Linked DNA regions of Schizosaccharomyces pombe. The gene in region 1 interacts genetically with each later gene. Each region holds a gene or a part of one and is shown in the gene's direction. Other genes may lie near its edges.

The links.
Region 2: of sec9 (region 1) and psy1, extra expression of one rescues a mutant of the other (dosage rescue), as found in Schizosaccharomyces pombe (2 studies listed by BioGRID).
Region 3: of sec9 (region 1) and syb1, extra expression of one rescues a mutant of the other (dosage rescue), as found in Schizosaccharomyces pombe (one study listed by BioGRID).

The regions. Positions count from the first base shown.
Region 1 is NC_003423.3:3,941,437-3,945,735, reverse strand, and holds sec9 (protein transport protein), read left to right. Parts: upstream 1-1,698; 5' UTR 1,699-1,991; coding exon 1,992-3,251; 3' UTR 3,252-3,752; downstream 3,753-4,299. Other genes in the region: thi2 (thiazole biosynthetic enzyme), read right to left, coding at 4,176-4,299. UniProt on the Schizosaccharomyces pombe protein: Has a role in cell separation, a final step of cytokinesis and in the assembly of the forespore membrane. May have a role in the transport of secretory proteins to these growing sites.
Region 2 is NC_003421.2:1,027,001-1,031,286, reverse strand, and holds psy1 (plasma membrane SNARE Psy1), read left to right. Parts: upstream 1-2,067; 5' UTR 2,068-2,140; coding exon 2,141-2,995; 3' UTR 2,996-3,786; downstream 3,787-4,286. Other genes in the region: putative histone N-acetyltransferase Naa40, read left to right, coding at 459-1,031; glucosidase II beta subunit Gbs1, read right to left, coding at 3,849-4,131, 4,176-4,286.
Region 3 is NC_003424.3:3,266,459-3,270,170, forward strand, and holds syb1 (synaptobrevin family receptor), read left to right. Parts: upstream 1-1,832; 5' UTR 1,833-1,852; coding exon 1,853-2,054; intron 2,055-2,118; coding exon 2,119-2,282; 3' UTR 2,283-3,212; downstream 3,213-3,712. Other genes in the region: helicase Sen1, read right to left, coding at 1-1,067.

The DNA.
Region 1 (4,299 bases):
ATTGTCGCCCTGTAAGCGTAAACTAATATGGTTGAGGTATCATTATTATTTCACACAAGTAAACTTAGCGAACATTCGCTAAAAGATAATGTTGATTTTGCTTTAAAAGCAGTCAAATAAAAAAAATACATTTTTAATTAATCATGATTCCAGTCATCAAATATGCAAGAAAGTATTTTATTTGAAACTTCAAAACTTGATATTCTTATAGTTTTAAAGAATTCATTTGTATTAGTTTTGTGCTGAGATTGTAAAGCAGCTTATTACTTTTATCGTTGAAGCGTTTAAAAGATCATTGTTTATTCCAGCAAATAGTTAAGGAAAATTAATTAAAGGCAGACAAATCGAGCTTCCCTTTTATGTGGTTTACAATGTTAATTATGCGATTAAGACCTTTATTCCACATGAGTTTGAGTATTTAAGTATGTGTCAGAAGCTTACAAAAGCATACTAAAGTAAAAGAAAAATCATGTACTTTAGCAATTTGTATATTCCTATGATACTATGCTGCGAACATAATTATCATGTGATTCAATTTTTTGAAATCCCCAATATGAACCAGAAATGTAGCTTAATGTTGTATGTTGATGTGATCACATAATTAAGAAACAACTTAATTTTGTTCATATAAAATCGGTTGCAAAAAAAAGGAAAGCGTTTAACAATTATCCTTTAAAGACACTAGCAAACTGCCACTTTAGAAGCAAAAAATAATAAACCATTATCATTTAACATTATGAAAGCAGAAGTTACTTTGGAACAGCTTTAACTCAATTAGTTTTTACTCTGTCAACAGTGTAATAATTTCAATACTTTATACTAATGTTTTAAATTAATTAAAACTAAATCTCGGTCACTTTTACCAAAGTAAAAATAGGAGATACTATGTCGTAAATCGGGGCATCTTCAAAAAATATACAAATATCATTATAAAACAAAATTTCAAAATTTAACGAAACAAAATCTCCACCTTACTAAATTAGTCCATCGGAAAGACAGAAAAATGAAGGATAGTTGGAAAACTATTTTACAGACATACAAAGGGTCTTTGTAATTATTGAGAGTAAAAAATATATATTTACTTCTGTGGCATCAGAAAGATAACGCATAAATTTTTATTCAACAATTTTTTTCAGATAAAAATATATGTTCTCATCATATGCCTGAATTAATGAAAATTTCAGGATGTGTTTATATAGTTTTTCTGAATCTGACGAGATACACAAACACTTGCTTTAAACTCTATCATTTATAAATTAGAAAAACACAAAATATTTTGAATTATTCATTTAAAGGATGTAAAATTTTGACTGTTCGCAAATTTCAAAAATAATTGTAATTTCCACTAATGGTAAGCAAACTATGCTAAATGTACTTCGAAAGCTTTCGTACTCTAAAAATAGAATGGCCCAATAACATTGATATAAAGTGCTAGTCAAAAAGAAAACAACACTAGCGTATGGCTCCATTGTTTAAATTCTATGATGAAAAGTAGAAAGATTGCTTTCTTAAAAAACGCCAACGTAGAACCCAATATGGCATGGATACTTTCAGAAAATTACTGGATTGAGTTTAAGCAAGAGAGTCAGTCGGCAGCCGACTGTTCATAAAGTCTTGGTAATTTAAATATATTTGTTTTGAAATTTAACGCGACATAGCGTAGAGTAGTTAATGTTCCGGAAATTGATTACAGTGCTTACCGTTTGCCATAATTTGTGCTCGGAAGCTTTGTTTGGTTCTGCAAGTTATTTATTTCATAATAATTTATGGGATTTTAAAGAGGAAGGTGATTAACTTGCCGCCATTTCGTAAAGCAAGCAATTGCATTTCTTGGTTAGTAGCATACTAACCCTTAATTATTCTACAATTTGTATTGAGAAACCCTACATCTGACGATTAAATTTTGTAACTCAATCGAACTATCTGCAACTTAAAACTTTTGCTTACGCCACCCTTCTCGACTCATCTTGGTGTGCACTTTAAGTTAAAGAATGAAGAAGCTGTTTAAAAAGAAGAAGGGTGTTAGCCCGCACATGTATATGCTTCCCGAGGAATCCAACTCCAATACGGCAACCAATGCTCCCTCATATTCGGTCGGTGGAACCACGGCTAATTCATATTCTTCCAATAGTTATAACGACAATAACAACAGCAATAGTACATATGGCTCATCCAACAATTATGGAAATTATGGTTCCTCCAACAATTATGGGAGCTACGGTGCCTCTAACACCTATGGAAGCAATGGTTCTTCCAACAATTATGGAAACTACGGTGCAACAAATTCCAATGGAGATGCTGGGTATTCCATTACTCCAATTCGTAATGACCCCTACGCTAGAAAAGACATGCCACCAATGAAATCTTCTGCTGCAGTTACGGAGAGGCCCAGCATGCATCGTTCTGCTCCCAGTCAAGACACTTTAGATCTCAAAAAACAGGAATTGTTCGCAGGAGCACGTATCCAAAACGATGATGAGTCCACAACGGATACTATTCCCCACAATGATGATGGTACTGAAGGAGATGAATATGGCGAAGGATACCGTGATGGATATGAGGAGGATCAAGAAGTCGAGGCCATCAAACAAAAGATTCAATTTGTCAAACAGGATAGTTTGTCAAGTACGAGAAATGCTTTGCTTATGGCAGGAAATGCCGAACAAATGGGTCTAGCTACGTTAGCCAATTTGGGAGAGCAAACCGAGAAAATTGCCACTGCTGAAAAAGAGTTGGATATTTCAAAAATACATGCTAAAAGGGCAGAAGAACAAGCTCGGGAACTGAAAACGCTTAATCGAAGCATGTTTGCTATTCATGTGCCAAAACCATGGGGAAAGGCAAAGAGAGTCGCTGCTGAAGAAGCTCGTTTGGCCGCAAAAAGAGATGCTGAACGTCAAGATGAAATGCTGAATCGCCAATTCGCATATCGATCTCAGAAACGCATAGATCAGGCTATGAAAGACAACATGAAATCAAATAAAAAGAAGGGTGACTCAAAGGGTGTTTCCATTTTAGAGCGTTCTCATTACCAGTTTGAGCCAGATGCCGAGGATGATGCTATGGAGAAGGAGATTGATGGCAATTTGGACCAAATAGGAGCACTGGCAACTCGATTGAAAGGTTTAGCTTATGCAACAGGACAAGAAATTGATTCACAAAACGCTCGTCTTGGTTCTATTCATGATAAAAGTGATCGCCTCGATACTGATGTATATCTGAACGTTGAACGACTTCGCCATATCCATTGATTTTTTTTAAACCACCAATCGTCTGTATTAGCTCTTTCTTGCTATCTGAATATTGTGCTGTCCTTTTATAATTTTTTAATCCAATACCATTCGCGGTAGCCTATTCGTGTTGCAAGTAACTATTGCAAACTAATTAGATGTTGCAGCTTTGATAGTGGTATTGACTGTTAGTTTTTATTCTATTTTTTTGTGCTGAGTACGAAATGAAGTGAATCCATATCACATAGGCATTTTCGATTTCCATGTTTTTGAGCTATTTCGGTATGCATTAATGATTTGTCAATCGATGGCAGTTTCTTTATTTCATTGCTCGCCAATGTCAAGTCAATTTTAATAGACATTTTTAACCTATATCATCGAAACCTTTATACGCAGCAATATCAGAGTAGATGTATATGATGCATCCAATTTAAAGCATGTGTCCTTACGATTATACTATCAATAGTTTTTTTAACCGGTTTAAATGCAATTAATACAATCAATATGACAATGTAAACCGTTAATAATTTGTTAGAGAGTTTTACTAATTTCCAATAATTTAGGGCAAATGGTTGAACATGAAAGTACTTTGATATCTTCCCTATAGAAATAGCCTTTTATTATTTAATTTGTTAGTTCATCCAATATAAAATATTATATTAAGCGATCTGTGAAATTGAGAAGATAACGCAAGATCTCGCTTACAGTTTACTCTAAACTGTTGTGATATTTCGTTAGCCAATTATATTGTACAAAACTACGTGAAAAGGCATAAAACTCATAGCTAACCAAAACTACGAGAAAAGCAGGTTTATTCTGTTAAGTAAATGTATTTGAATCTCTTTGAGTATAAGTAAATTGCATTAAAAAACGTTGTAGTAATGGTAAAATCAATGACTAAAACAAATGTAGAAATATCAAAAGGTTGCTAGTACACTATTTTCTTTACAAGTACTTTTCATTAACAGCCTTACGTTCATCAAAAATAGCAAGAGCTTCTTGAGCAGCTTTGATGCCGCTAAACATCATACCACCGAAGGTTGGTCCCATACGGTTGGCACCATCAAAT
Region 2 (4,286 bases), on another chromosome or scaffold:
TATCTGCTAAAATGCCTTGAAGTTAAATCATGCTAATTGAAATATACGCGTTAATGACCCCGAAATTGTTTGTAAAAGTTTTTTTTTGTTTGCAAGTTTCTTTCTATCTTTGGAAACTATATATATATTTTAAAGTTGCATATTGCGTTTAAGGTCTCTTCCGGTTTCATCAGAAGTCAAGCTCTAAATTAATACAACTGCTGTTATTTGAATAAAGGATACGGCTTAAAACGATTATTGGAAATAGGAATTATTAGATGATTAAGAATATTCATTTTTTGTTATCGTGTATTACTAAGTAGGCTTGCTGTAGCAACAATAATAAAAATGATAGCATTTTGCTCGATATGTATTAAACCCTTATTCAATCTTTGGTTTTTAAAAGTGTAATGTGATATTGATACCTTAACAACATTATGCATTTTTTGAAGCAATACCTCTTTTACTCACCCAGACGTATGAAGACCCAGGAAATCAAGAATGTTACACTCGAAGACGTTGATTTTTTAAAAAACTTAGGGGTTTGGGTGGAGATATATCATCATCTAGAAAAAGGACTTCTTCAGCAATGTTTCAATTTGGTAAAAAAGAACATGGAAGCACTATATCGACAAAGCTCCTTCGGATGGGATGATTCAGAGAAATTGAAGGAAATGGAGATGGAAAAATTAGAGTATATTTGTATTTTTGAAAAAACCTCGAAAAAATTGGTAGGATTTCTGAGTTTTGAAGACACTGTGGAAGCAGGTCTGACTTGTTTATACATATATGAGATACAGCTAGATGAGCATATACGAGGGAGGAACGTTGGGAAATGGTTATTAAAAAATGCAAGTATACTTGCATATCGACGAAACCTAAAATATATTTTCCTGACAGTATTTAGCGCCAATTTAAACGCCTTGAATTTCTATCATCATTTTGATTTTGTACCTCATGAGTCATCTCCCCAAGAGAAAAAATTTAGATCAGGAAAAGTAATTCATCCGGACTATTATATACTTTATACGAAGTCCAGAAAGGATTGGTAATTGAGCTTCCGTATACACACATGCTTCATACCTTTTTGCCATCCCCCTCTAAAACTACAAAATATGTGTATAGTCTCTTTTCTTCTTTGGTGCATCCAATCTCTGAGTTTAATGTTTTGCATTGAAGTCATCAAATTTTGTGTATTTTTTAAATCTACGATACCATACATTATGACCTGGTCCCATCAAAATATTGTTCCATTTACTAAACCTTTAAAACTTTAGTAAAATATTTGAAATTTCTGTTCAGGACTTTTGTTTTATTCCATTAGCAACGTTGTAATGTTACATGATGCGAATTGCTTTTCAACCATAACAGCTTAGGGATTGGAGGGGCTACAATTTCTATTTTAATTTATTCATTAATGTCAAAATATTTCTACCTATATTGAGGTATATAGTTACTATCTTTTTAATTACTCAAAGAAAATCACTTAGGATATCGATTACTTCTGTTTCAAATTCAAACCTAGAAGTATAGATCAGAGAAAAATTACCGACAATGATAACTAAAATTTTCAGCATTCCTTTCTCGTTTCCAATGGCATTCAAACCATGATTGCTTTTAGTGTTAAAAAACAAAAACAAAAAAGAACGATTAATTCCGAGACAGTCAACTCCATCAACTACGAAAAACAATTAAATATTTTTTATGCATTTCTTGAAATAAACTACAGCAAAAATCTTTCTTTTCAACCAGAATATCAAGAAAACTTCACTCCTTATTCGTACCTCATACAAGTCCAAATAACGAGGAGAGTATCCTATTGTGATTTTAACAAACTCCAACTTCCTTGGAATTCAATTTTTAAGTATTAGGCGTATATTTTTGATATCAAGTTTAACGGATTGTATTGTACAACATTAAAAAGTAAACACTGCTACGTCACACAAAGCTCGGATTTGATTATGATTGGCGGACTTTCAACAGTGTGTTGTTGCTAAGCCGCCTTTTGTTTACCATTGTCTGCGAAAACATTCGTTAAATGCTGCTGTATGATTCTTTATTTTTAGTAGGAAAAACGTTCTTGTCTTTAACCAACAACAACAGAAGGTATCTATACCTTGTTTGTTCAACAAAACGGGTTTAAACAGATAAATATAACAAAATGAATAAAGCAAACGATTATACACTAGGAGTGGAGATGATCCCTCTTAGTATGGGAGAGTTTTTTGAAGAGATCGATCATATTCGCGATGCCATTCGTCAAATCGAAGATAATGTCGGTCGAATTGAGATGTTGCATCAACAATCGCTGCAAGAAATTGACGAAGCAAATATTGCAGCTACGACTCGCCATTTAGAAGGTTACACATCAGATACTCGACGTCTCCAAACTAGCGTTCAGTTGGCCATCCGGTCATTAGAGTCTCAAAATATGCAGCTGCCACCCGATAATGACACAGCCACCAGAAAAACACAGACCGAAGCTGTAAAAAAGAAATTTATGGACCAAATTCGTCACTTTTTACAAATAGAAAAGACATATCGTGCTCAATATGAACAACGTATGCGTCGGCAGCTTGAAATTGCCAACCCCAGGGCTACTGAAGATGATTTTCAAACCGCTATAAATGAAGAAAATGGTGGACAAGTATTTGCTCAGGCTTTGCTTCGATCAAATCGGTCTGGTGAAGCTCGCACTGCATTACGGGAAGTCCAGGAGCGTCATGCCGATATTAAAAGAATTGAAAGAACCATTGCTGAACTTGCACAGCTTTTCCAGGATATGGCTACTATGGTACAGGAGCAAGAACCAATGGTGGATAAAATTGTAACGGATGCTGTTAACGTTCGCACGAATATGGGTGAAGGAACTCAGCATATGGATAGAGCTATCAAGAGCGCTAGAGCAGCTCGTAAGAAAAAGTGGATTTGCTTTGGTATTTGTGTTGTTATCATTTGTGTAATCGTTGCTGTTTTATGTGGTGTTTTGATTCCTGTTCTTGGCAATAGACATTGATCAACGGTCATTCTTCCTTGTTGCATGAAAAGTTTTTTTCTTTTAAAAAATCATGTTTTTCATTACTTGGTTTTAATGATATTCTTTTATTCTTCTAGTATCTTGACTGTTCTAACCATAATCCTTTTGCTTACCCCTTTTTTTTCTGTTTCTTTTCTTTTAAACCTTTCTTCCTTGGACTTGTATAGTTTGTACAATTTTACCTTTTTCACCCTTTATCCACGTTATTCTTATTCATTTTCATTTCCTTTCATCCATCTCTTGCAAAATTCTCTGCGATCGTTATTACAATCCCTGTCTACACCTTTCCGTTTCCCCATCTACCCTTACTTAATATTTGAGTTGCTGCAAATGTATTTATTTTCAAATGCTGCAGTGATATGGCCGGTTAGATATCACCTTTGAAACGTTTACCTTTTTAGCATATTTCCCGTTTGAACGGTCCGATTGTGATTTATGGACTCTGGAAAGTCTTTTCATTTTCACTCATCGCTCGTTACTTAAGTTGCAGTGTAAAATATTTGGACTACACGTCTGGCATTGTTATTTTGTTTATTCATGGCATGCTGCTTCGTTCTTTACCCCAGCAGTGTTTTACATCATTCTCGGGTTTTATATTGGTAGAAACCAACAAAATTTATTTGGTTTTTTAAAAGACGATAACAGCATTGTTTTAACAGTTTATGTGTTTATACGTATATGAACGGAATCGAAGTTCATCATCAGTTCTGGATATTTCAATAAACGTTGTTGTATATTTTCAAAATGCTTAAAAAAAATAGGCGTAATTTACTGTAGAGACGACCATGAGTTGAATGTAGTAATTTATTTAAATGGCATAAGCGATATTATATTATAACTCATCGACAGATGATTCCTTGTCTTCCATTCCATTAACAGCATTTTCGTTTGCGCTGTTTTGGGTGTTGAGTAAAGACTGCTTGAGTTGATCAGGGGAGCACGCAGCAGGGCTCTTCATTTTGATTAAATACTCACATTTCTGAGCCTCCAGTACACTAACAATCTCATTTTCTACTCCACATTCAACAGTAACAATGGCAGATCTATGAGGACCATTCCAGCAACTTTGACCATTTTCATACTTTAGAACATTTCCTTCCTGCGAGGCAAAATTTCTAGAGTTGTTAGCAAACACATACCAAAGCAAATCTACACCTACCCTAATAGAATGGAATCTTGAAAAACATTTTCGTAAAACACCACCTTGTATGTATAGCCACCAATTTCACGTTTTGTTTCCATTCCCTTGATAGCTCTGTACAAATCCCAC
Region 3 (3,712 bases), on another chromosome or scaffold:
TCCAAAACCGAATAAATGATGAAACCTATAGTACGCTTCTCTTCTACAAATCCTTTAAGCCATTCCGGAAAAACACTAACAAAGTCATTTAAACATGTGCGAAAAAATGAAGCAATAATGTAAGCCCAGTTCATGTCAGATACTTCAAAAGGTGTAGCTGTAACATTTTTTAGCAAGTTTTTTAAGAAAGAAGACACTTCCTTAAATGAATCAGCGGCAGACCAAAAGGATGAGGAATTGCAGCAAATTCGAAGACAGGACATTTGTTGAGAGGATAGAGATTCAGAAGTCTTTACCAAATTTAAAAGATAATCTTTTAAAATGGACTCACATGCAGCAGTAATGGATTGTAAAGGAAGAAGTTCTAAAAACATGTAAGTACGTTCCCAAAATTCAGGACTACTTATAGACACGAAATTACAATCACTGTCAGAGGAATTTTGACTTTCAAACACTACAGTATTAAAAACGGCGTCAACTGTAGCAGAAGAAATTCTTATTTCAGTATTTTCCTTAAAAAAGCTATGAACCCATTCCAAAACATCGGGATGGGAAGCTTCATAGAAAAATAGTAAATAACCAGGAAGAAATATATTAGAACACCAATCTGAAAGTAGACCATTAAATGCATCTATTGCATTTTTATAAATATTTTTACAGGTAAACAATTTAGGATTCAAGAGGGTTTCGAAAATTAAGCAAGGCAAAGACGTGAAGTCAATTGTTTCATCCTCCAGGGCCTTGAAGTCCTCTAAGACACGGATAATATCCCATTTATTCCACTTTTCCTGTAAATCGGTAATTGAAAACCCAGTAAAAGAATATGAACCTTTCGCAAGGGATTCATTTCGAAGTTCATAATAAGCTTGTATACAAGAAGTACAAGAGCGTAAACGCTCATGATAGGCATTTAATACCCATTTAAAGCTCGGAGTTTCATCATGTGCAAACCAAAAGAAGGTAGGTTGTATATACTGAGTCAGTAGTCCTGAGCAAAACCAATGCTGACCCTCTTTACTAGACGATAATTTTTCAAAACAATCTTGATCGCTAAGATTCTCCGCCATTTGTAACAATCAAATTTAATATTTTTTTAATGTTATGAAGTAAATAATATTTTTTTTGGAAATTTCAACCTGTTTTTCTGATAAAAGAGTGAAAACAAAAAAACAAACAAAAGAAATGTAGGTAAGTGAGTATTGTCTCTTTTTTAAAGACTTTTTTCTAATAAATGTATGATTAAATGGACCCAAATAAACGTTGTTTCACCGATAGACCAAAAACCCAGGAAAAATCTAATATTGCAAGTGCCAAAACCAAAACCCTAATCCAGACGTAAATCGTAACGTAAATAAAATTTTATTTACAAAAGATCTCAAGAATAAAATAACAAATAACGTTTCGGACGCTACAGCGATGAGAGGAGACCTTTTAACACTATGTGAAAGTTAAAACTTTCATAAAAATTTCATAACTCAAGGAAATTTAGAAGAAGAAATATATTGTTATGAACAGCTCAAATCGCCAAGAAACAAGACGTGTTTCCAAATCTCTATTCCAAAGGGCGTAGTTGGTTCCTCCCAAATTCACCAATACTAAGGATTTGTTTACGTTATTTACTATGAGGGTACAGCTAGTTACATGTTTCTTATTGTAAAAAGGCAAGAAGTAATTTTATTACTTTATTTTATTTTTTTTCTTTAATTTATATAAGTATAATCACAAAACTGCTTTGCAACCCAACATTACAAAGCCAGATGTTTAACGCAATGGAAAGAGGATTAACGAATTGGTACACATCAACTCCAACCGAGCGCAAAAATAAATCCTCCACCAACTAACACATACGACCATGTCTGAGCCATATGACCCATATATCCCGGCGGAGCCTTCTGCAGCTGTTCGTAGTGGAAATGCTGCTGCTTCGTCGACGCCGAATATGAAGACAGCTGCAATTCAGCAGCAGATTGACGATACTGTGGGGATTATGCGTGAAAACATTTCTAAGGTTTCAGAACGTGGAGAACGCCTTGATTCTTTACAAGATAAAACAGGTATGATATTTATTTTTGTTAACAGTTAAATTTTTTTTTTGAACGTTTAGCTAACTTCTTTAAGATAACCTTGCTGTTAGCGCGCAAGGCTTCCGTCGTGGCGCCAATCGTGTTCGCAAGAAGATGTGGTGGAAGGACATGCGTATGCGTCTTTGCATTATCATTGGTATCATCATTTTACTTGTTGTCATTATTGTTCCTATCGCAACAAAATTTCATGGCAAGTAAGAAGATGTATCATGTAGCTTAGTCGCATGCCGAGTCAAAATATTTGCTGTTTGAATACTTTTTTTTCAAGCGTATTTTTGTCTCTGGTTTTTTTCTTCCTTCTCTCTTTCTTTCTCTCTTGCCTGACACAACAACCTATAAATCGAATTTTAAGAAAAAAGCTTCTGATGTAGACAGGGCCACTTTTTTTGCAAAGAGATAACGCATTTTTTCTCAAGATCCTTTATTCGTTTTTATTTTTCTTGCATATACATACTTGATGACTGACGGGTCAATGATAGTGAATACCAGGTTGGTTTTTTGTTGAGCAATTTGGTTTTGGCCTGTATTGCTTTTTCCTCTTTTCTTCTTTCTACACCTCACCATACATATCATGGGCCTTGCTTGCTTGACAAAGGAAATCTTTATGGATACAAAATTATCATTACTTTCCGTACTTAAGATGGTAAATAGAATTTTTGTTTCCTTCTCGGTATTTCTTTTCTATTCCGCTCTTTATATGGATAACCCTATAGCATAAAGATGGATAATGTTTTAATGTATACAGATTAGCCTCGATATTCCATTTGTCTACGGCTTTTTTCTAATTCTTCAAAAGTACTTAGTACGGGAGCAAATTTGTTATCTTATTTTCATATTTTTCCTTTAGAAGCTAGCTTCTTTTTATACTGATTATTGCACTGATAGGTGTATTAAAAAACCACTATTCTTAATTAATTTTATAGAGTGAAATGTGTAAACCTGATAATTAGGAAATATTTTTTAAGTTTGCTCACACGTGGTTTTATATCCAGATTAACAATTGTATTATTTTTCGACTTCTATTTTGCTCAACAGATATTGTGGTCTAATCCTTCATTCGTGTAGTATTTTAAATTTTGAATGCAGCACGGTTTACGAATTAAGATATATTCATCAACTGGGTTCAACAGTACTGCATTTGTTTTTGTTTACTATCAATGTAACTTAACGTAATTTAGAATTTAATTGTATCAGAAAGTAGTATATTTGCTCCCCTTAAAATGCTTTAGTCTGAAGAATAGATAATAATAGCCCAATATTTTAATAATTTAGATGATTGAAAAAATCAACAGATTTTTTTGTAATATTGTTTGTATGAATTCTCGTTGAAATATAATAATAAACTACATATATTAAATCGTTCACTTTTACTGAGTGATTGAATTAAATATATCTTCAAATATTTGTATATAATTTTAATAAATTGTAATTGTCTTCCTTACTAGAATTACGCTTATAATGATACTAACCAGAAAATTTAAAAAATATATAAGTTTGATATGTAAATAGATTGTGAAAAACCAGGGAATCACAACAACTCTTGATATTTATCAAAACAAAGATGATTATAACCTACATTTTTACTACGGTTCCTTAGGTAACAAGTGCTACCTATAGTTAGAAGTGTA